4 linked regions of the Caenorhabditis elegans genome follow. Changing the gene in region 2 together with the main gene of any one other region gives a genetic interaction. Each region holds a gene or a part of one and is shown on either strand. Other genes may lie near its edges. The genes, in order: vig-1, spn-4, rbm-3.2 and asd-2.

What was found.
Region 1: of spn-4 (region 2) and vig-1, a change in one rescues a mutant of the other (synthetic rescue), as found in Caenorhabditis elegans (one study listed by BioGRID).
Region 3: of spn-4 (region 2) and rbm-3.2, a change in one rescues a mutant of the other (synthetic rescue), as found in Caenorhabditis elegans (one study listed by BioGRID).
Region 4: of spn-4 (region 2) and asd-2, a change in one rescues a mutant of the other (synthetic rescue), as found in Caenorhabditis elegans (one study listed by BioGRID).

The regions. Positions count from the first base shown.
Region 1 is NC_003280.10:1,318,448-1,324,374, forward strand, and holds vig-1 (Hyaluronan/mRNA-binding protein domain-containing protein), read left to right. Parts: upstream 1-2,589; 5' UTR 2,590-2,700; coding exon 2,701-2,764; intron 2,765-2,885; coding exon 2,886-2,999; intron 3,000-3,046; coding exon 3,047-3,230; intron 3,231-3,288; coding exon 3,289-3,715; intron 3,716-3,766; coding exon 3,767-4,114; 3' UTR 4,115-4,626; downstream 4,627-5,927. Other genes in the region: fcho-1 (FCH domain only protein 2), read left to right, coding at 1-174, 251-704, 1,305-1,531, 1,579-1,638, 1,682-1,807.
Region 2 is NC_003283.11:6,782,080-6,787,497, reverse strand, and holds spn-4 (RRM domain-containing protein), read left to right. Parts: upstream 1-2,594; 5' UTR 2,595-2,595; coding exon 2,596-2,645; intron 2,646-2,692; coding exon 2,693-2,797; intron 2,798-2,843; coding exon 2,844-2,906; intron 2,907-2,954; coding exon 2,955-3,670; intron 3,671-3,723; coding exon 3,724-3,845; 3' UTR 3,846-4,311; downstream 4,312-5,418. Other genes in the region: spe-39 (Spermatogenesis-defective protein 39), read right to left, coding at 1-130, 183-286, 337-499, 552-867, 923-1,059, 1,110-1,271, 1,323-1,530, 1,577-1,737 and 1 more; ZC404.15 (uncharacterized protein), read right to left, coding at 4,370-4,545, 4,637-4,819.
Region 3 is NC_003279.8:11,909,178-11,913,492, reverse strand, and holds rbm-3.2 (RRM domain-containing protein), read left to right. Parts: upstream 1-2,471; 5' UTR 2,472-2,536; coding exon 2,537-2,558; intron 2,559-2,751; coding exon 2,752-2,830; intron 2,831-2,915; coding exon 2,916-3,072; 3' UTR 3,073-3,165; downstream 3,166-4,315. Other genes in the region: hda-3 (Histone deacetylase), read left to right, coding at 1-368; mag-1 (Protein mago nashi homolog), read left to right, coding at 817-876, 948-1,346; NEDD8-conjugating enzyme ubc-12, read right to left, coding at 1,578-2,026, 2,073-2,166; rbm-3.1 (RRM domain-containing protein), read left to right, coding at 3,519-3,543, 3,762-3,840, 3,896-4,043; exo-3 (exodeoxyribonuclease III), read left to right, coding at 4,287-4,315.
Region 4 is NC_003279.8:6,888,301-6,894,442, reverse strand, and holds the start of asd-2 (K Homology domain-containing protein), read left to right. Parts: upstream 1-2,299; 5' UTR 2,300-2,357; intron 2,358-2,920; exon of another isoform or gene 2,921-2,997; coding exon of another isoform or gene 2,998-3,030; intron 3,031-3,076; coding exon of another isoform or gene 3,077-3,339; intron 3,340-3,383; coding exon of another isoform or gene 3,384-3,694; intron 3,695-3,739; coding exon of another isoform or gene 3,740-3,885; intron 3,886-3,931; coding exon of another isoform or gene 3,932-4,058; intron 4,059-4,108; coding exon of another isoform or gene 4,109-4,347; intron 4,348-4,390; coding exon of another isoform or gene 4,391-4,482; intron 4,483-4,528; coding exon of another isoform or gene 4,529-5,189; exon of another isoform or gene 5,190-5,241; intron 5,242-5,558; exon of another isoform or gene 5,559-5,699; intron 5,700-6,142. Other genes in the region: C48B6.4 (Tyrosine-protein phosphatase domain-containing protein), read right to left, coding at 2,998-3,030, 3,077-3,339, 3,384-3,694, 3,740-3,885, 3,932-4,058, 4,109-4,347, 4,391-4,482, 4,529-5,189. UniProt on the Caenorhabditis elegans protein: RNA-binding protein that binds to the 5'-NACUAAY-N(1,20)-UAAY-3' consensus sequence in pre-mRNA introns to promote alternative splicing.

The sequences.
Region 1 (5,927 bases), on a different chromosome or scaffold from region 2:
GCTCGGCCCCGAAGCAACACTCCCACCACGAGCCAAATGATGAGCCGGAAGGACTCGGCGAGCAGCTTTATGGATCCGTGGAGTAGTACTTTCAATTTGGCGCCCAGTGAATCGAATCATTCCCTTGGAGAATCCACGTTTAATTTGTCACAGTCTACCGGGAATTTATTGCAGGTAAGGCTTCAGGCTTCAGGCTTAAGATTCAGGGTTCAAGAAACTCGAAAATGTTGATTTTTTTTTCAAATTTCAGGCCACAATATCCGAACAGCGAATTCCGCTAGCCATGGCCATCAACGAGCACGTGCATGTTTGGTTCAAAAAAGGAGCCGAAGAGTTCATTCAGCGCACTTTCGGCACCGTAATGATATCATTTCCAACGTCATCAATAACTCTTCTCACGTCCATCCAACACGAAATTGAGCCACTAGCATTCCGGCTCTCAAATGCTAAATTCATTAAATCAGTGCTCCCCAACAAGCAACTTATCGATGAGAATGTGAGCAAAAAGGACGACGAGATGTGCATTTTCTACTTTAACAAGACCCATCTTGCCACGTGGCTTCAAGCACAGAAGCTCGCGAAGCCGGATGCGGCATTTGTGAACGCGGAGGTCGCGCGGTTCGAAATGGAGCCGACGGCACCGTGTAATATGGTTCCGCCGCTATTCCTGACGTCGTACTGGAAATTCGAACCTGGACACACTGGTTCGTCGAGAAATCTTCTGTGTTTTTGAGAAAATTTGAATTTTTAATATTAATTGCGAAAAATTGATGGGTCTGCTAATTAAGAGTTTGTAGTTTGTAGTCTAGCAGACCAAAATTTCCTAAAAAGCGCAGTAATTGATTGGTCTGCTAAATAAGACTTTGTAGTTTGTAGTCTAGCAGACCAAAATTTATTAAAAACTGCAGAAAATTGATGGGTCTGCTAATTAAGAGTTTGTAGTTTGTAGTCTAGCAGACCAAAATTTATTAAAAACTGCAGAAAATTGATAGGTCTGCTAAATTTGATTTTGTAGTTTGTAGTGTAGCAGACCAAAATTTATTAAAAACTGCAGAAAATTGATGGGTCTGCTAATTAAGAGTTTGTAGTTTGTAGTCTAGCAGACCAAAATTTATTAAAAACTGCAGAAAATTGATAGGTCTGCTAAATTTGATTTTGTAGTTTGTAGTGTAGCAGACCCAAATTTTTTATTGAAATTGGCAAAATTGCTGAGTCTGCTAAATAAAATTGAGTTTTTTGTAGTACTTTTTAAATGCAAACGCCAAAAATAAAGCCTAATAATAAAAATCCGCATTTCTTTTCAGATCTCCGTGTCGACTATCGCCTCAACTCAGAATCTTCCATCTCGGCGCCACTTCTCAACGTGAATTTCAGCACAAATTTGACGGGAAGCGTGGATTCTGTGATGTGTGAGCCAGAAGCCAAATGGGTGGCTGGAAATCCGTCACTCGGCTGGAATTTGCTGGAAATTTCAAGAAATGGAGATGTGCACGGATCGCTGAAAGCAAGGATATTTATGAAGAATTCTGGGGTCGGGCTTTTTAATTGCTTTAAAATAAAAAATATATAATTTTCCAGGACGAAGTAAGCTTGGAAATGCTCGATCGGAAGCCGGCGCAGGTCTTCGTGCAATTTCAGGTACTAAAAACTGAAATTTAAGCTCTTAATTTATCTTTTTCAGTGCCTGGAAGCCAATCTATCTGGAGTGGACATTTCCCTAGTGCAATCGGATATTTATCACCTGTCTATGATTCGTAAAAAGGTGCTCGCTGGTAAATATTTTTGTGATCCCGAGCTGCGGAAATAGAGAAGATGAAGAGCTTTTTAATTTGATTTTTGTTTTAATTTTTCTGTGTAAATATAGCATAATTCTCGCGAAATCTGTGATTTTAACAAACTTTCAACTTCTAGTTTTCCAATTTTTCACCACCAAACGAGTTTTTCCACTATTATTCGTTATCCCCCGCTGTAATAAATACTTTTTCCCGGCATTTTTACTTTTTTTACACACATTTTGGGCTGGAAATGTCATAAATTTCTTTTCAAATACTTTAAGACAACAAAAACAATTGGAAAACAAGTTTTCCCCCAACCAAAAATTGATTGAAAATGGCCGAGGACTAGTTTTCGATTTCAAACTGCCGCCCATTTCGGCGGTCGCATTTGGCTGCGTAGCGGCTCGCAAACGCCAGTTTACACTATTGTGATACGCAGCCAAACCTTCACCTGTCCGATTTGAACAGTTTTTCCGATTTTTTTTGACCGTTTTCGCCGGTTTTTTGTAATTTTTTGGGTTGCTAGCAGTAAATCACCGATTTTTGATCAAAATTGCACTGAAAAATGTTTATTTTATTCCGAAATAGTGGATTTTGAGCAATTGTTGATTTTCTGACTTTTGATTCGATTTCTTTCTGGAACATTCAAAAATTCCCTTAAGAAAATGCAATTTGCTTTTTTTATTTTTTGATTTTAGTTGTGAAAAGTGCTTAACTGATTTAAAATATCGCAACGGTGTCTGGCTAATTATACTCTTTTCTTAAATATCGATTTTTGTTTGAAAATTTGAAATCTAAACTAACGTTCTTGCAGGTATCCCCATATTATGGGTTATTGATTAACTTGGCATTGAAATTATTGAATTGAACAGAAGCTTCCTGCACTTGGAATCTTATCTTCATCGAATCAACACAAACAGCAAAAATGAGCACTGAATACGGTTGCCAGGTCACCAACAAGTTCGGTCTTCCATCCGACGACGACGATGGTGAGTGGTTGATGATGATGATCGCCGGATGATTATCTTATCTTCCCGATGGGATATTGCGCAATATTCATATGCGATATACTCCGCCCAGAAGACATTATAAAAAATCGATAATTTGCAGAGTATGACGACCCAAGAGAGCTCATCCAAAAGGTGTCTCAAATCGCCGCCAAGAAGAAGGAGGAAAAGTCTGTGAAGCCCGCCCAGCCGGTCAAGCCAGCCGCTGCTCCAGTTGGTAAGAATTGGCATTCCTATTCTTAAATTAATTAAACATTATTTCAGCCGCCACCAAAACCGACGGTGCTGCTGGACGTGGACGCGGAGGACGTGGTCGCGGACGCGGGGGAGCCGGCCGTCCACGTGACGGAGAACGTGTCTCCAACGAGAACGGTGATCGTCCACAAGGCGAGAACCGTCGTGGAGGACCCCGCAGAGGCGGTGAGCGCGGTGCTGCTCGTCCAGCTGGGTAAGAAACGCTTAAATTTTTAATTTTTTTTTTCATTTTACTGAACTTTGTATTTTAGACGTGGAGGCCGCGGAGGATTCACTCGCGAGAACAGAGAAGGAGAGGAGCCAAAGCAAGAGGTCTCTTTCGAAGACGGACAAGATACCCGTGCCCCAAGACGTCGTGGAGGATTCACCCTTGGAGGTGGACCATCTGGCGGACGTGGAGGAGGCCGTGGTGGACGTGGGCGTCAATTCGATCGTCAATCCGGATCCGACCGTACCGGAGTTCGCTCATTCGACAAGAAGGACGGACACGGAAAGGGCAACTGGGGAGACCAGAAGGACGAGTTGGCTGGAGAAACCGAGAACATTGCTCCAGAGGGCGCTGAGAGCACCGAGCCAGAGGTTCCACGTGAGAAGACCGCTGAGGAGCTCGCCTACGAGGCTGAGTTGGCTGTTCTTGCCAAGCAAAAGACTCTTAAGGAGTTCAAGGCTGCGGCTAAGGTGAGTCGTATAAAATATTAGTTTTGGAATTTATTTTTTTTTTTGTTTCAGGCTGACGCTCCAAAGTTCAACACCAGAAAGGCCGGAGAGGGAGCCGCCGATACTTTTGGCAAGCTCGTTCCAATCAAGAAGGAGGTCATCCCAGATCGTGAGGAAGACGAGGTCGTCGTAATCCACAAGGCTCCAAGAAAGCAAGTGCTCGACATTTCGATCACTTTCCGCAACGATCGTCCAGAACGCGAGCGCAACGACCGTTCTGAGAGGCCGCAACGTGGAGGACCAAGAGGAGGTGGACGCGGTGGAGGCCGTGGAGGACAACGTCAAGGAGGTCATGGAGGACGCAACAACACTCCATTCAACGCTTCTGACGATGCTTTCCCAGCTCTCGGTGCCAAGTAATTCCCCCCCCCCCACTCAACGACCTTCAGCCAACCAACCAATTCGCCCGCCCTCATTCAAATGCTCTGTTCTTCTCTCCATCTTGTTTTCTTCAAAATTCTCCTCTTTTCAATATCTTTGCCTGTGCCCATCTACCCCACAAATTGTTCGTTTCCAAAATGCCTGTTTCTTATTTTTCTTTTTTTTCTAGTTCCCCCATTTAGCTTGTTGTTGTTATCACCTGCCTTATCGATCTCTCTTCTGATGAGTTGCCCTCGATTTGGTTTGCTTGTTATCTCCCGTTTTTTCTTTAATTTTTAAGCCCTTTGAATCCCTTGATCTTCCACATACACCCACCAAGACGACCTCTTCTTTACCAAATATTTGACACAACAAAAGGTCTCAATTGTGTCAAGGATCAACGAACTAGTACTAGGAAACTCAATTTGTGCCCCTTCCAACCACCACCCCATTGCGCCCAGGTTTCGTTTTAATTGGAGTTTGTTGTTAACAAGATTTGATAAAGCATCATTTTTGTGTTAAACACCCCAATCATTCTATATCACACACACACACAAACACCCATTTTTCTTCTTTTTGCCTCCACACACCCCCCCCCCCCCCCCCCACCCAACTGTATCCGTATTTTGTAATAAAACGGTCTAAACCAACCACAGGGGCGTGGCCTGACACATGCCATTTCTAGGCCGCGAGCCGAGTGCTCTGATTCTCTGCCGCCTCTTTTAGAGAGCCGCGACGTCTTCTTCAGCGGGAGAGAGGGAGCACCCCCCCCCCTCCCCATTGCTCGGCAAAAACTTTTGCTCTCCTTTCACTTCTTATTGATTTCCCTTCTGTTAGCCGCCTAAATTAGAATTTTTAATTCTTCAGATTCTCAATAGAGCGAGCTTGCGTTCGAAATAATTTAATTTTTAATTAAATCTTCCTGCGACTCTTCTCTCTTTGGAAATTGCTATTTCGCAAGTTTAGTAACGATTTTATGACAGCAGCGGCGTCCGAATTTGAAATTGAATTAGGTCCCCTGAGAAGCTTTTTAGACTATAAACTACAATTCTGAAATGGCAGACCAATGAGAATTTGGTCTGCTAGACTACAAACTAGAGTCTGTGTTTAGCAGACCCATGAGCTTTTGAAGAGTTTTGGTCTGCTAGGCTACAAACTACAAGTCGTATTTAGCAGACCCAAATTATTAGAGTTTCGTATGGGTCTGCTGGACTACAAACTACAATTATTTAACAGACCAATCTTAAATTAAAAATTGACTGAATTTAGGGATTTTTTTTTCAGTTTTTAGCTCTCAAGACACTGTTTACAGCAGAAGAGAAGTACAATTCATTTTATTTTTAAAAAAAATGCTCAAAAATGGTTTTTCCCTTAAATTGGTCTGCTAGACTACAAACTACACAAAAGAATTAGACCCAAGCTGACGTGAGTTTTGGCCGATTTTTGAAAGTTTTATCATGTTTTGAATGAATTGTGCTGCTGTGTAACAGATAATTTTTCAAATATTCAGTTTTTGTCAACATTTTGCGAAAATTAGAGCTTCGAAATGGGCCCCCCAAATTGGTCTGCTAGACTACAAACTACATTTTGTATTTAGCAGACCAAAATCTTGAAGACCCCGCGAAAAGTTGTATTTTTTCTCCAATTTCCCCTTCCTTTTCCTAATTGAATTCCGTGCAATTCAGTGCCCCCCACCCGAAGCTTCTTCTCTTGTCTGACCTAATTTGATCTACCGGGATATCGGAGTGTCGTAGTGCTGCCACGTCATTTTTTTCTGTGTCTCCTTAAATACATACTAATTTTCAATTCTAGA
Region 2 (5,418 bases):
ATGAAGCCAGCGAGAGACGATCTCCTTTCTGTGTCAGACACTCGATGACCATTTCAGGAACATCAAATAGTAGTGCTAGGCGAAGACGTTCTTGTGCATCAGATTCGCCTTTCAGGATACGGTAGATGAACTGAAAATTTACACACATGAATAATAGGTATCTTGTTAAAACTATTCCTCACATCAGTCGGTGGAGATGGATGAGATCGTTTTACAATAGTCAGCAAATTGTGATTATTGATGGAAACTCCCCATTTACTGGTTGATTTTTTGCCTTTGAACACACCTGAAATTCAGTTAATTTAGATATTTTCTCAGCTAAAACCACAAAATTACTTTTAGCTGCACTGAACGTCATGGTGATAGTTTTCGGTTGAAGTAGCTTATCGATATCTGGCCAACGGCTTAGTCGAGTCAACGCTGAGACGATCGTTTGAGTGGCAAGTCGATCATTGAATCGGATCAATGTTTGAACTGATGGTAGAGAAGCTGCAGATGTCTGTAATACATCGATTATGAATGATTTTGCAACGTTCTGAAGAGTAATGTACCGGTGAATCGTCGTAATGGTACATCGCTGAATAATACAGTGACGATAGAGCAGGTAATCCAATTAGAGAGCTGGTTTTTGGAAACTTTCGGAAATGTTCTCCTTTATCTCCAGCATCCATTTTCTCCATTTGCAATTGGATTTCATAGTTTCTCATCAACGCTTCCATTTGTCGGGCTTCAAATTTCATTTCAGGAATTGAGAAGCTACCATGAAGCATGGTTCGGAGCAACGGGACTCGCTTGTCTGGATTTCGTTTGTATTTTCGCGTAGCTTCGAATTCAATGACAGATGCATGTTGATACTGACCAATGCTACTATAAAATGGGGAAATTGATTTCAACAAATTTTAATTTAGTTTTTATTAAATACCGTAAAAACTTGTTCATCTTGTCCCACTCGCCGGTGATCTGAAGATGTCGTGTGTAAACTCGGCATGCACTTTTCTGGCCATCCATTATTTTGCAGAATATGTTTTCCTTGAGAGTTCTCTCTAGAAAAATCACAATCTGTAAAGAAAGATAACTTTTTAAAAAATTAGTATCATAGCTGTTCGGACCTTGAAAATTGTATTATTGTCGTACGTGGCAACTGCTTGCTTCAAAAGTTGTGTCTTATCACGTAATGACCTATAGTAATCCAGTGTTACAGTATGCCCTTGAAGCATTCTCTTGATACTAGCCTCGATTGTAAGCGGCTGAAACCGTTCGTGGCGAAGAACCTAGAATCATAATTATCTTCAAAATTCTATATTAAAACTTTAATAGCTAACTTCGTGCTGATCTTTAAGTTTCCGATGTTCTTGTCTCAATCGATTATAATCCAAATCAAGACGTTGTGCTTCACTTGGTAAACTACTTGCACTTGCTTCAGAAACCACAGATGGAGCGGTCTGAATAACTGGCGCCACGTTAACGTTCTCAGCGAATTTCATGTTCAAGAAATCATCTACAATCTTGCCAGAAGCCCGAGGAGAGGTACTGCAAATTACTTATTTATATTCATAAAACAATGTAATTAACTTACTCTGTTATTCGAATATTCGCCTTGTCTGACACAGCAGCAGCTCTTCCGTCAATTTGCAGTGGAACATTTGTGGGAGTTGGCGTTGGGTTCTGCGGTCGGACGTACGGCTTCGGAGTCTCATCGCCACCGAAGAGATTGTCGACGGCTGCTCGAGCTTGAAGCTTTAATTTTCGTGTTAAACACATTGATTTGAGCAATATAATAATTAAGAAACGTGTTAATTTACTTTTTTTTCAATTTTTTAAAAGTAAAACATCTGGTCACGTTTATAGTTTTAAAAGATTTTTTTCGTTTTTTCTTAATATAATAACTACGTTAAAACTTACTTGTTTTGATTGTAAATCATCAAACAATCCGGATGAATTCGAGTCAGATTCATTCCAATAACTGTCTTCCGGAAGTTCAAAAGTGAATTTCCTTCGAAGGGCCATTCTTTATAATATTATCATTTCTTTTGCAAAGTATCTGAAAGAAACTATAAGAATGAGAAAAAATAGATAAAATTTTATGGGAAAATGGGAAAAGAATTCAATAAAAAATAAATGCAGAGAAAAAAAACGCAATTGACATGAAACGAGAAAAAGAGAAGAAAGGCAACTGCGTGCACGCTCCTTGCAAAAACTGCGTGCCAGGATTGCGAAGGCGGGGCTTATGAATGAAGCGCGAGTTTGAATCAAATAAAATTATTTTTTGCTCTTGGCCTAAAGAAAATCGAATTAAAGCTTTAGTTTCTAGTAATTCGTAAAATAATTTTTTTAATCGAAAATAGAACACAAAATTGTCTAGTTATATTAACTTTTAGACCTGATCCGACGTTCGTATGAACTAGAAATCTAGAAGATCACAAAGGCGCGAAATTTTGATTTTAGATTTTTCTGTAACTCGGTGGCGGGAAAATGTGAAATTATATTTTCAATCGTTTTATCATCATTTGGAATCATTTCTGCACTTGTCTTCTGTTGTCTTGTCTTTTCTTTACCCAGTTCCTCATTTTTCTTTATTCAACTTTTTTTTTCAGAATGCAAAACACACAGATATTTACTAACTTCGCTCACAGAGCACATGATGGGTATGTTTATCATTTTTAAATGTTGGTATTAAGTATTTCTTTTTCAGATTACCGTTTAACAGTGCGAATCCTTCCAACAAAGATCCAATTTTCACAATGCCAATATCGGTCAAACCGAAAACTCGTGAGCCGGCTTCTTTCACAGATAACAGGTAAATTTGTCGTGCCGTTTTAATGAATTCATCAAAAAACTTTTAGGATATATGTCAGCAATATTCCCTTCTCGTTTCGTGAACAAGATTTGGCGGCAATGTTCTTCGCGTGAGTTTTCAATTTACAACAAGTTCTGAATAAGAATATTAATTTCAGATATGGAAGAGTCCTGAGTGTGGAAATCGTCACAAATGATCGTGGATCCAAAGGGTTCGGGTTTGTCACACTCGATTCCATCGAATCCTGTGAGAAAGCTCGTGCTGCGCTTCACGAATCACATGTTCAAGGAAGAATTATAGAAGTGAGAAGAGCGACACCAACCCGCAGAAAGCTTATCAACAATCCACAAAATGAAGTTTTGCCACCACCAAAGCTGTGTGTCGATCTTCGAGCCCCTCATAATTTATGGAGAGCTGAGCCAATGCATCAGTTGTTCAAGGAAAAGGAGAACACAACATGTTTTCCCGAAGCTGGATTCATGATGGCACCATACCGTAGCAATGGAATTTTCAACACGCGTAGTCTTGTGCAGACCAAACCACCTCGATGCACCAAGCACAGCGAGCTCAAGCTTTCTTCAGCTGGTGAATACTTCTGCAAAAACGGCGAGCCTACGACGGAAACAAGTATTCTGATGTGCATGCACAGACAAAACTCACCATGCAGCAATAAGTGTTCTGATTCTTCGAATCACGAGCTGTCTGATGTGGAGTTGAACTCTATATTCCCACATCATCTTCGTGACCAGATTACTGCTCTTCTCGACACTTCAAACCATTTTGGATCAGGAAATAATAGTGCTAACAAAGGAAAGAGAGCACCATCTGTGACATCTTCTGGATTGAGATCATCAGAGAGCGAGACAGTTTCAGGTAAATAGTTTAGATTCTAGATTGTCGATTTTCATTTAAAAATCAAATTTTAGACGAAGAGATTCATTGGTCCCCACATAACAGCCCTGATTATCTTCTCGCTGCTCTCTACGAAGGTTCCACATCGTTCCACGGAAAGTCTGTTTCTCCACCAAAAGAATCGTCAAGCCAGTAATCAGTTCAACTGATACGCCCATTTTATTTCTACTAACTGCGTGTTTTGCATTTTATCGAACACCCCTAAACTTTCACTTAACCAAAAAGCTTTAACAAATTTTTTACGGAATCTTCTTGTACAGCGACACTCGTTGTCCTTGTCAAATGATTCGTTGCTAGTTTTTCTTCCCTGTAGCTTCTATATCGACCCCCCCGGTGTTATTTTGTAGGAATGCGTTTCAGCATCTTCCCTATTTTGCCATCTCTCACATACACTCAACATTAGCAATCGGAAAACAGATCTTCTATATTGAAAATATACTACCAGTCCGTTTAACCTACCTCGCTTGCTAACATTATTGAATGTGCCCACGTATTGTATTTTCTGAGCATCTTTCTGTTTTTTTTGTATTTTATAGACGCTGTGTTCGCCAGTTATTTTTGCATTCCTGTATTGCTCGAAGTCAAATGAAGTGCTTCGCCATATTCAATTGTTTTATTTTCAAAATCACCCGTTAATACTAGATTTCAGTTTGAATTTAATCACAGTTGTGAAAGATCATTATCCCGGCGTGTCATTGAGAGATCAAATGTTATCTTTCGGCACCTCTTGGCCTTCCTCCATTCATGATCAGAAGATTCACTCTCTTCTAAAATGACGTCGTGAGAGACTGCGGGAAGAGAAAAGGACGATGGCTGTCGGCACTTTGTGGATGCTGCTGGAAAAGTTTGGTGAATTTTGAAGTTTTGTGGTTTTTGATGATAACTTCAAAATGGATGGGAAAACACGAGAGAGAGAGAGAAACTTACGGATTTGAAGAGTGGGTGGAGAGGAAGGGTACAAACTGCTTCGCTCCTCATCATTTCCTGTGCCACGTCGACTTCGATTTTGACGACTTGAAAGTGTTGCGAAGAAGGACATTCGACGGGATTTCGATCGTCGACAACCACCGCTTACCCAACAAAATAGGCACGAAACAGGAATGAAGATACCTGAAATAAATATGCATTATTAGGCAAACTTGGAATTTTCATAGTTTTTTCCTATAGATTTTGATTTTCTCTAAAATTCCCCAGCGCCTATATTACAGGAACACTATTTACATTTTGAGAATGCGAATTGCACAACATCTGACGCGCAAAATATCTCGTAGCGAAAACTACAGTAATTTTTTAAATGACTACTGTAGTGCTCGTGTCGATTTACGGGCTCAATTTTCGAAAATATTTTCTCGAACTTTGGCAGCGATTATCAATTAAAATTATTTACAATTCGAAAAAGCGAAGCAAAATTGAAACCCGCTGTCCAAATTCGAAAAGAAAACATTTTCGAAAATCGACACGAGCACTACAGTAGTCATTTAAAAAAATTACTGTAGTTTTCGCTACGAGATATTTTGCTCAATACGCATTCTTGAAATTCAGTGTTCTCGTAATATCATATAGGAATGGCCCCTTAACACACTAAAACAAGAATCCCGACATGTAATTTGTCACCATCTTCGTTTTCTTCCCAAAAACAATATAGTTATTTTCTTTCCATATTTTTTGACGTCAACTTTCAAAATAGGCAATTATTTTCACCCAATCTC
Region 3 (4,315 bases), on a different chromosome or scaffold from region 2:
TAAAGCCGCTCGCCGCTCTTTCGAACTTCAACACTCCTGAATTCATTGATCAAACGATTGTCGCGCTTTTGGAGAATTTAAAGCAACTTCCACACGTTCCATCGGTCCAAATGCAATCGATTTCGACGAGTTGTGACTCAATTGTGAAGACTTTTGACGAGAAACTGATCCGAGATCATCAGAATGATGACGTCAGAGTTACTCAGTTCGAGGAAGACGTTCAGGTGGAAGATTCGGCGGAATTCTACGATGGTCAAGAGCCGGAGACGAAGAATATTCAATCGATGAAACGGCACGCGAGTCCGATTTGTGCGGCGCAAGAGGAGATGAAGAAAAATCGGATTGATGGCGGCGAAAATGTGGCATAATTTGGTTTTAACTTGATTTTCTGTATGCACTAACTTTGTATTTATATCGTCTCTTCAAACTATTTCTTTAATTTATACGAATCTCAACTTCTCTAAACCTCTATTGATCCTCAAATCTATTTAAATCTTTCGTTAAATCGACAATTAAAAAATTTCCGTCGTCAAGTGTGGTGCCGGTGGTGCATACACCGCCGCGCACAAATGCACAGATTTCGGCGTTTTCGAATTTTTATCGGATTTCTTTTCTCTATATTTTAAAGGATATTTTCTATCGTTTCTTGTCTAAAAACACAGTTTTTATCGAATTTATCACAATATAAACCTATTTATCATCTTTCTTTTGTGAATTTTCACTGAAAAATCAGGTTTTTTTACCTTGAAATTCTAATTTTCACCCGGTTTTATTTAATGGATGTTTGGATTTTCTCAATTCCTATTTATTTTCAGAATGAGCGGCGAAGAAGAGAAGGCAGCGGACTTTTACGTTCGTTACTACGTTGGACACAAGGTAGGTCTTGGAAAATCTTGGAAAAATGACAATTTTCGCCAATTTAAATTAGTTTACGAAACAATTTTCAGGGAAAATTCGGTCACGAATTTCTCGAATTCGAATTCCGTCCAAACGGATCGCTTCGCTACGCGAACAACTCCAACTACAAGAATGACACGATGATCCGCAAAGAGGCGACAGTGTCGGAATCGGTGCTCAGCGAGCTCAAGCGTATCATCGAAGACTCGGAAATCATGCAGGAGGACGATGACAATTGGCCAGAACCAGACAAGATTGGACGCCAGGAGCTGGAAATTCTGTACAAAAACGAGCACATCTCGTTTACGACCGGCAAAATCGGAGCTCTAGCCGATGTGAACAACTCGAAAGATCCGGATGGTCTCCGCTCGTTCTACTATCTCGTTCAGGATCTCAAGTGCCTCGTCTTCTCGCTCATTGGCCTTCACTTCAAGATCAAGCCAATCTAATTTAATTCCTTCAGACTCTGTTCTATTTTATCCACCAAATCTCTTTAACTTGTTTAATTTATTCGATTTTCTCTTCTCTTCTTAAGTTCTCAAATTTCTCAAGAATAAATTTTATTTCTTTCAAAAAGTACAGTTAGAAAAAGTCTGAGAGGTGGGGGAAAAGTTAGAATCAAAATCAATTTCATAGGGGGGGTCAATTCACAGGCCATTTGTAATCCGATCCGTTGGTCCTTAGCAATATCTAGAAATGTATTCCCGAACACGATGATTGAACGATTCGCGATTCTGACTCCACATCTGGGCGGCTTGAATGTTCAGCGCGTCGTTGAAGTCCATAAGATCGTTGAACAGTGAGACGAGTCCGTGGACGACGTCGGTGAGGTTACGCGTTGGACGCCATCCGTATTGATCCAACGAGTTTTGACGCAAAATCGATAGACAAATCGATCCGTCCTCGTTGATATTTGGATGCCAAACCTTTGTCAGGCACTTAACAACGGGCGGCACGTTGTTGTACTCTGGCGGGACGGTGATCTTGAATCGGAATTTGCCTCCACGATAGATTCCTTCTTGAGGTGTCACGGTGAGTTCCAACTCATGAAGACACGATGTTGATGGGACCTCGAGATGCCACAGCTTTTGCTTCTGATCGCGAAGAGCAGTCTCCAGCTGTTGGAGTTCTGAAAATGTTGTAAAATCAAAATTTTTTATAAAGCAGCCACATACCCTGAGCTAGGAGCTTGTCACGGACGGCGATGCGGGTTTCAAGATACCGACCGTCCTCGTTGTTGCCGTTGATTCGTTTTTGAAGATTGAACATTCTGAAAGCGAAAAATTAAGAAATACGATAATTTTCAGCGATATAGGCGGCGCATACGGAAACATAGAGAAAATAATCGTTTTTTTGGCAAAATTACAGTGTAAAAGGGTCAAAAATCGATGAAAATCTTGTAATTCAGCGAAAAAACGACAAATTACGTGAGAAAATGAAACAATTGCTATGAAAAATGACAGAGAATGAGGAATAAAAGACGCAGCGTTTGCTAACGCTGAAATGACTAAAGGGGGCGGAGCGCGAACGCAAGGCTGGCACACTTTTACCGCAAGTGCCGCACGGTTTCCCACGAGTCGGAGGAGGCAAGCGAAAACGATTCGAATCACACATATTTACGCTCCGGCCTAAAATCGTCATGTCTGGATTCTCTGTTTACGGTTAGTTTTGTTAATTGTAAATTATTCAAGTAGAAAACTGGAATATTCAGCTTTAAAAGCAGATTTTAATCGAGAAAAGCCGAATTTAAAGTCTGGCCTAAAATTTTTATTTTTCTCCAGGCGTTTTTCTATTTATTGTATTTGATTAGGCTGAGATAATTTGAGTTTTTAATAATTTTAATGCATTTTTCAGTCGGAAACGCTCCATTCCAAACTACCGAGGACGACCTTGGCAACTACTTCAGCCAGGCTGGAAACGTCAGCAACGTCAGGTAAGCTTCTCTCCCCGAAATCTCCTCTTCCCGAAACCTCCTGAACGACGACCCGTTAACTCTCAATATGAATCTCTATTTTCAGAATCGTTTGCGACCGCGAGACCGGACGTCCACGTGGATTCGCCTTCGTCGAGTTCACCGAGGAGGCCGCTGCCCAGAGAGCCGTCGACCAATTCAACGGAGTCGATTTCAACGGAAGAGCTCTACGCGTCAACTTGGCTCAAAACAGAAACAACTAATTTTCATATCGGTACTTTGTTACTTGTTTGATCTTTAATGATCTCAATAATAATAAACCCATGAAATCGTTATCATAAATATATATGCTCTATTTTTTTATTTCGAATCTTCATTTGGGGTCAATCTGATGGCAAGCGTTGAGGCTAGAAGCTTGAAGGAACGGCTTCGGTTCGAGCAAGTTTTGAATCCTGGGCTATGCGCAGCCCAATGTGAGCTTACAACTGAAAATTCAAGTTTCAACACTCTTCGCGGTCTTATTTTGGACTAATTCCTCATATTTTCAGCTTGAAATGGAAAAAATCTGTCGAAATCGATGCTATTCGAGGGGCGGGGCCAAAACGCAACCCTGGCACGGTTTTTACGCAACTGCCGCACGTTTTCTCCAAGGCAGGGTGAGCGGAAAAATTAAACCGTCATAAATTTTCTGCTACGGCCTAAAATCGTCATGTCTGGAATCTTCTCTGTTTACGGTTAGTTTTTTAATAATTTATTTTAAGTATTAAACAATCGGAAACTGGTTAAAATAGCCAATAAAACTCGATATTGTCCTGAAATTTTGGGATTTTTCGGAAAAATCGAATTCGCGAAGTTTTCCCTAATATTTTCATTTGAAAAGGCAATTTTAAGTGTTTAGATTCAAATTTGGTTGCGAAATATTTAAATCAATTAAAATTTTCCTTTTTTTTAGTTGGAAACGCTCCATTCCAGACCACCGAGGAGGAGCTTGGAAACTTCTTCAGCAGCATCGGACAAATCAACAACGTCAGGTAACTCTCCCAGCCAGCCCGAGCTTCATGATTTCTAACGCAATATCTCTTTCAGAATCGTCTGTGATCGCGAAACCGGACGTCCACGTGGATTCGCCTTCATCGAGTTCGCCGAGGAAGGATCCGCACAGAGAGCCGTCGAGCAGATGAATGGAGCCGAGTTCAATGGAAGACCACTCCGCGTCAACCTCGCCAACAAATAAGTTGATCTTCATATCGGGTTTTTGTTACTTTTTTGCTCTTCACTGATCTCATTATTAATAACAATCCAATGAAACTATCGATTTAATTATTTAATTCAATTTCAACTATTCTCTAACTAATCTGTTCAACATTCGGGGAAGTTTCTCTATTTGTCATCCTTCCATCCGCCGACCTGATTCAACTTTCTTCTTCCCCAGCTGCTCCGTTCAAGAGCCTACTCGACTACTAACCTGTTGCTGAAAATGTCGAAGCGAAAAGCAGAAGAAGCACC
Region 4 (6,142 bases), on a different chromosome or scaffold from region 2:
TCCGCCGTGTACATTTTATTCAGTTTTCTTTTTTTTACGTCAAAATCGATCCCTTTAAGCGAATTCGCATGTGAATAAATCTAAATCTTCGAAAGATTGAATCCGAAATTTAAAAAATTACAGTACTCACCGATACTTTTTCAGTCACCGTGTAAATTCTCCTTTTCGTTTTTTTTTCTTCCTTTGTTTTCGCTGGTTTTCTTTGGTTTTTTTTTCACGAAATCTGTCCCAAATGACGGCTATTTCGAGGATTTTATGACGCTTGAATGTTTGCAAACAAACGGCTTTTTGCCTCCGACGACCCATCGTTGACTTGTTGAAAGCCTAAATTTCCAAAAAAAAAAGTTGAAAACAACAGAAATTCTGTCTGACATTCTCGCGTTAGTGTGTCTGCTATTTATGCAGAAATACTCCTGTAAATAAAATTTTTATCACGAAAGTAGATTTATTTTTTCCAGTCCACAAAATAGATCCGCAGTTATGCAGAAACTTGTGATAATCCGACGAATAAATATCAAAAACATCTCGAGTTCCCATTCAAGTTAATCATTTTCACAAATTTAACTCAACTAGATGATCAACTCAACATCTCTCCAGATACCTGTCACTAGAAATTATATCGTTCTGTTTCCTTTCACCATTTTCTTGCCTTCCGCTTTCATTTTTTCCTCATAAAACGAATCATGGGAACCCCGAAAAGATAGTGTTGATTGAACGGAGACGGATGATGGAAAAAGAAGAAAATACGCGCGCACACATGTTGTCAGTGATGGCTTTCCAGTGATTTTCCAATTTTTATTCGCGTGTGTTCTATATTGAGCTGCTCATCGAATGGATAAGTGTTTATTCTCTAATTACATTCGGATTGTTTTCCATATTGAACATAGTTAGTTACCGAAGAGATTATCTTCTCATCAAGTCTTTGCAATTAATGATATTTTCTAGAAAGGTTTTTTGCGGCGTCCATTTTTTCAAATTCTTGACGGAAATCCGACATTTAGAGCCAATCAATTGAGACAAAGTCGGGGTCCTTTAGTGCTTCCCGATGGCCTCAAATAGCAACAACTGGTGCGGAAAAGTGGGCAAAGAAGAATAAGAGGTCACCTGGCATCGTTACAACTGATCCGCCTGTCATTCTGTCCGTCTAAATCTCTCTAATCCGTAATCTATCGTCATATAAGTTTTCCTGAGCTCATCATCATGTCTTTCACTCTTTCTCTTCGTCCACTTCTCACTCATTTAAGCTTATTCCTTCTTCCTTTGCTTCTCGTTCGAATACTAAAAGAAAGGGTGTATGAAGATGATGACTATAATTAAATCTGCACGCGGCATGTATTAATTCATATTTAGTGGTGGTAGAGGACTCATAGTTTTCTTCATTCCCTCTACCGTGCAGTGAGACATTACTTTTGGAAAAATTTATTGAACTTTACAATAAATTTGAAATATGTAAAGTTGACATATATTTATACCGATACGATAGGGAAGCCAGCTTTTACGAGCACTTTTCCAGAAAACTTGTGTTTTACATCGAAAATACATTTAGCATGAATCTTTTCGCTCAAAATATTTCTGAAAATCTGAAAATGCGAACCCTAATTAATATTTAATTCGATTCGCGGATTTGCCAAATTCTCTTGTTATTCCTCGAATTTCTGGAAAACCCACATCTCGTTTTCTTTCTCTAATATAATCTTAATTCAGATTGAGCAATTCTAAACTTTCAATTTTTCCAATAAATTTTCTTAATACTCTTTACCCTTCCAATACCCTATCCAAAATACTTTCGTGTCAATTTTTCCAAGAATTATTCATATTTTTGAGGTGCAACTCTCACCCCAGTAAGAGAAGATTTTCATTTTTACACGAGGTAGCTTATAAATATCGATGAACTTATTTTTCCAAACAATCTGAGCTTCTCAAATCGAAGCAACAAGTGATATCACATTCAAAATAATTTCTGTCAATGTGGACAATTTCAGTCAGTTATTTGAAAAATACTGAAATTTAAAAAACCTTGCCATTGGAAAATATTCATTCATTGAAAGTATGCTTTCAATATTCTTGCCTCTTATTTCTTTTAGTGCCGCATTCCAACGATGACCTTCTCATTGCAATACATTTGAAAAATGAAAGTGTATGCCGACTGCCTAGGTGTTACGTAACTTGCCATCCAGCCGATTCGGTTTCTTCTCATTTGTTTATTCGCAAATAAAACACCTTATGCTTCTTAGCTCACTTTATCTTTATAGATTTTTATTAATTCAAAAATGACTCCAGTTTTAAATGTTTAATTTCCAGCCGTATTCCTGTCTTCACGCCACCCAATCGATTCTTCAAGTGCTAGGAGCTGTCAGGTAAGCTGTTATTTCTTTTAAAAATTTGTATTTAACTGTAAATAAGTAGAAAACCATTAACTTGAGAAAAGTTCTTCCAATATCCTTTCACCAATTTTATTCTCGTGTCTCGGACAATTCTATTATTCCATCATGCAAGCAATGTACCGGAAAATTGGTGCATTCATAAGGTGCATTCATAAGGCCATCCTTCAATTTCCTTTTACAAATGTTACCTTTTATTGTTTTTATTTTCGGTCCTCTTCCCCTTTACCTACTTTGTTCGGAGCTTTATAATCCTACAGTAATCTCTTAAATCTGAACCAGTTCCCATTGAATTCTTCTTTCCTCTACTTTTTAACATCGATGAATGTGGGTAACCACGGGTGTTAATATCGGGCAATAACGAAATAGTGCAGACTTCACTGGAGAGACCGTCAGAGAAATACCGACAAAGTATGTAATTATGTTCTCCTCCTTTCACCATCACTTCGATGTATTTACTTGCAAGTTTGGAGTTTGTTCACATTTTCAATTCTCCCTCTTATTCTTTTTTAAGGTCAATGCTTTCAGTTCAAAAATAATAAAGCCATATCACTTTATTAAAATTCCATAAAAATCTAGAATACCGTATTCAATATTAACTCTTTGCGTTGTTTTCTTAGGGACCATGAATCAGAAGTTGAGGATTTGACTAAAAAGGATATGGTTATAAATTCAAATAAATGAATCATTCAAACCTGACGTGATACATGCTCATTGATTATTTCGATGTTTCTAACTTTCGAATCAGTAACCTGATTCTTGACGATTTCGTGGAAATGAGTTACATTAACAACATTTTGATACTCAGACTCTCCCATCTTGAAAATCAGAAGTTGCTGTTTCTTCAGGTTCATCGATAATTGAGTCTCAATTCCGAGTCGTTTAACAGTATAAATTCCGCATGATTTCTCACTTTCACTGCCGTAGGGAAAATAGGAAGCACAGTTTGCAGTTTCTTCTGAAATTTAATTTTTTTTTGAAATCTGAGGTTTAAAATTTTACCCGGGTCTAAATCAGATATAGTGTGAATTGTTGGAATTCCTTTATGTAGAATCATTTGCCAAAAGTCTTGTGTCTGTTCTGGATCTGGACTGTTGGCATAAATTTGAATGACATTATTCAGACGGTTTTGAGATTGAATTGGATATGAGCCGAGCGATTTCTGTAGATCAAATTCCTCGGTTTCCAGTTTAACGAGATTTTCAACTTCGTCAGCTCCGCCAATTTGTCTTGATTGGCATCCAGACAGTGAGATCTGAGATGATGAAGAGGTCAGGAAACCCAAATAGCAAGATTTTTCGTAGAGAGCCTTTCTATAAAGAATGTTCGATTTTCATTTCACGGTATCGAAATCAAACCTAGCGTTGGCCGCCTGAATAGGTTGTGTCACGAAATCTGGAACACTGGATCCTTTCTTTTCAATGAGATATGAATTACGCTCCACAAGTCTATCCCGGAGAGGACTGAACTGCATTGGACCATGAAAAAGCCAGTGTTGAGTTGGCTTTAAAAATATAAGATTTATTATTTATTTTTTGATAAAAGCTTACCATATCATTCAAAAGATCTTTTCGAAGATTCTCAAACTCTTCATCTTCTTTTGTATAATCTTTTGATGGATATTCTTGAATATCTCGTTGACAGTGCCAAACAACATACCAACCATAATTTTCTGGTCTAAAAGTTAAAATCAAATCAGTATTAGTAATCTGAACACATTAACTTACACTAGTTTGCATCTTACTGCAAACTTTTGAATTTTGCAATGTCGATATGGATATTCTGGATCTGTCAATCGTCGTACAATTATCTGTCCACATTTGAGAATCTCTTGTTTATCGTCAGGAATATATTGCTTACAGTTGGCCCCTCGTTTCTCCAAAAACTTTCCAAACATTGTAATCAAGCTGATGCGATCTTTATGGCACTGAGTCCAAAAATCTTGTGTTCGAGTTGCGTCAGGGCCCTGAAAGAGTTATAGTGCATTTATTAATTATAATTTCACTTACCAGACATTCGAATTCCAACCCATGACCATTGATTGAAGACTCTACCATGTCAAACTCGTAGCTATTCAGAACTTGCTGACAGCAGGTTTTTTCTGAAATAAAATAACGATACTTGCGATGAAATAAACTGAAACTCACTATCTCTTTCATAATCCTCCTTTGTTGGAATCAATAAATTGGGCTCCGAGTCTTTGTGATTTTCATATTTTTCAAGAAGAGCATTCATATCATACTTTGGCCATCCATTTTCATCATCACTCAAATCAGTTAATAAATCATCAGCTTTACATTCAAGTTCATCAATTTCCTTCAAAATCTCTTCTTTTGGTTTTGATTTACCATAATTCCCAGGAATTCTTCCATGTTCGAGTTCGAAAAGTTCCTTTGGTGTAAGCATGGTTTTACGCTGTTTCAAAAATTCTCGATAGTTTTCCGAGCATACAAGTTCCCTTATATTGGAATGAGTTACATCAATTCCCTGATTGGCAAGATATAACAATGGATCAAATATCGACTCAACACTATCATCACTGGATTGTATATCAAGATGTTCATCGTCAACGCCACTTCCGGTAACATCCACCTCACTTCCAGAAGACACACGTGAGACTTCGGAGACATCACGAGAGATTCTTGAATCGGGAATCGATTCTTCGCATGTTTCTGGAATGACCGGCACTTCCAATATGAAATCTTGAGACTTTGCAACAACGGCGGGACCAGATTCAATATCGACTTTTGTATAATATCGATCCGCTGGTGGCGAGATTTTCGCCTTTTTTGATGATTTTGCACCCATTTTGTGCAAGTTGGAAGACTTCAAAACTCGTAGAAGTTTAAAATGATTGTCTTCGCAAGATTTTATAATCGTGGTTTATTGATCTTCCCTTGTGTACGTTGAAATCAATAATTATGTTTTCAAATGTTTTCACGTCAAAAATGGATTCGTTTTCAAGAATGTTCATATTTTCTGAATATTATCATTCAGTCTTTCTTCAAATGATTTTTAAAAAATAACATTTTTTAATTTTTCTTTGAACAACTCGTGCTCATCCCCTTTCGAACGCTTCTACTGGAACACTTGTTCCATTTTTCGATCCGTTTACATCATCTTATTTTTTAAATTTTGTCACACCAAGCAGTAAAATCCTAAGTGTATATGTCTCTATGTCTCTTTGGAAGACACTTCCGGTATCCGGAAGAGCCGACGGATGCGCGCGCCAATCCTTGTGCGACTGCGGCACTGCAATGGAGAGATGACGGCGGCAATGTTGAAAATGATCACAACAACCGAATAAATGATATATTCATCTTGCGTTAAAAAACACGATTTTCTTCTAATTCCGATAAGATCTTCATTCGAATAATTATATTAAAATGTGCCAAAGCTTCTTGTTATCAATTCTTCCTTTTTTTAAATTCAGATTCTCTTTAAAGCTTGGAGTATTATTTTCTTTTATTGTAGCTTTTTCAAACTGAACATTAAAAAAATTAGGAAAAAAATATTCACAATTTATTTTTTTTTCCGAAATCTTCTGATAAAACACTATAGAATATCTTCCAAAAATGTAAACACGAAAACATCCGTCTAGATAATTCCCGTTTTACGTGACGAATAAGAGGCTTTTGAGCCTACGCTCATCTCACTTGATTCTTAAATTTATTATATAAAGATGTATGCGTCTTCCATCATAAAAATTCTCTTAAATTTTTTGAATTTAAATCCTAATTTCAATTTTAACATACAACTTT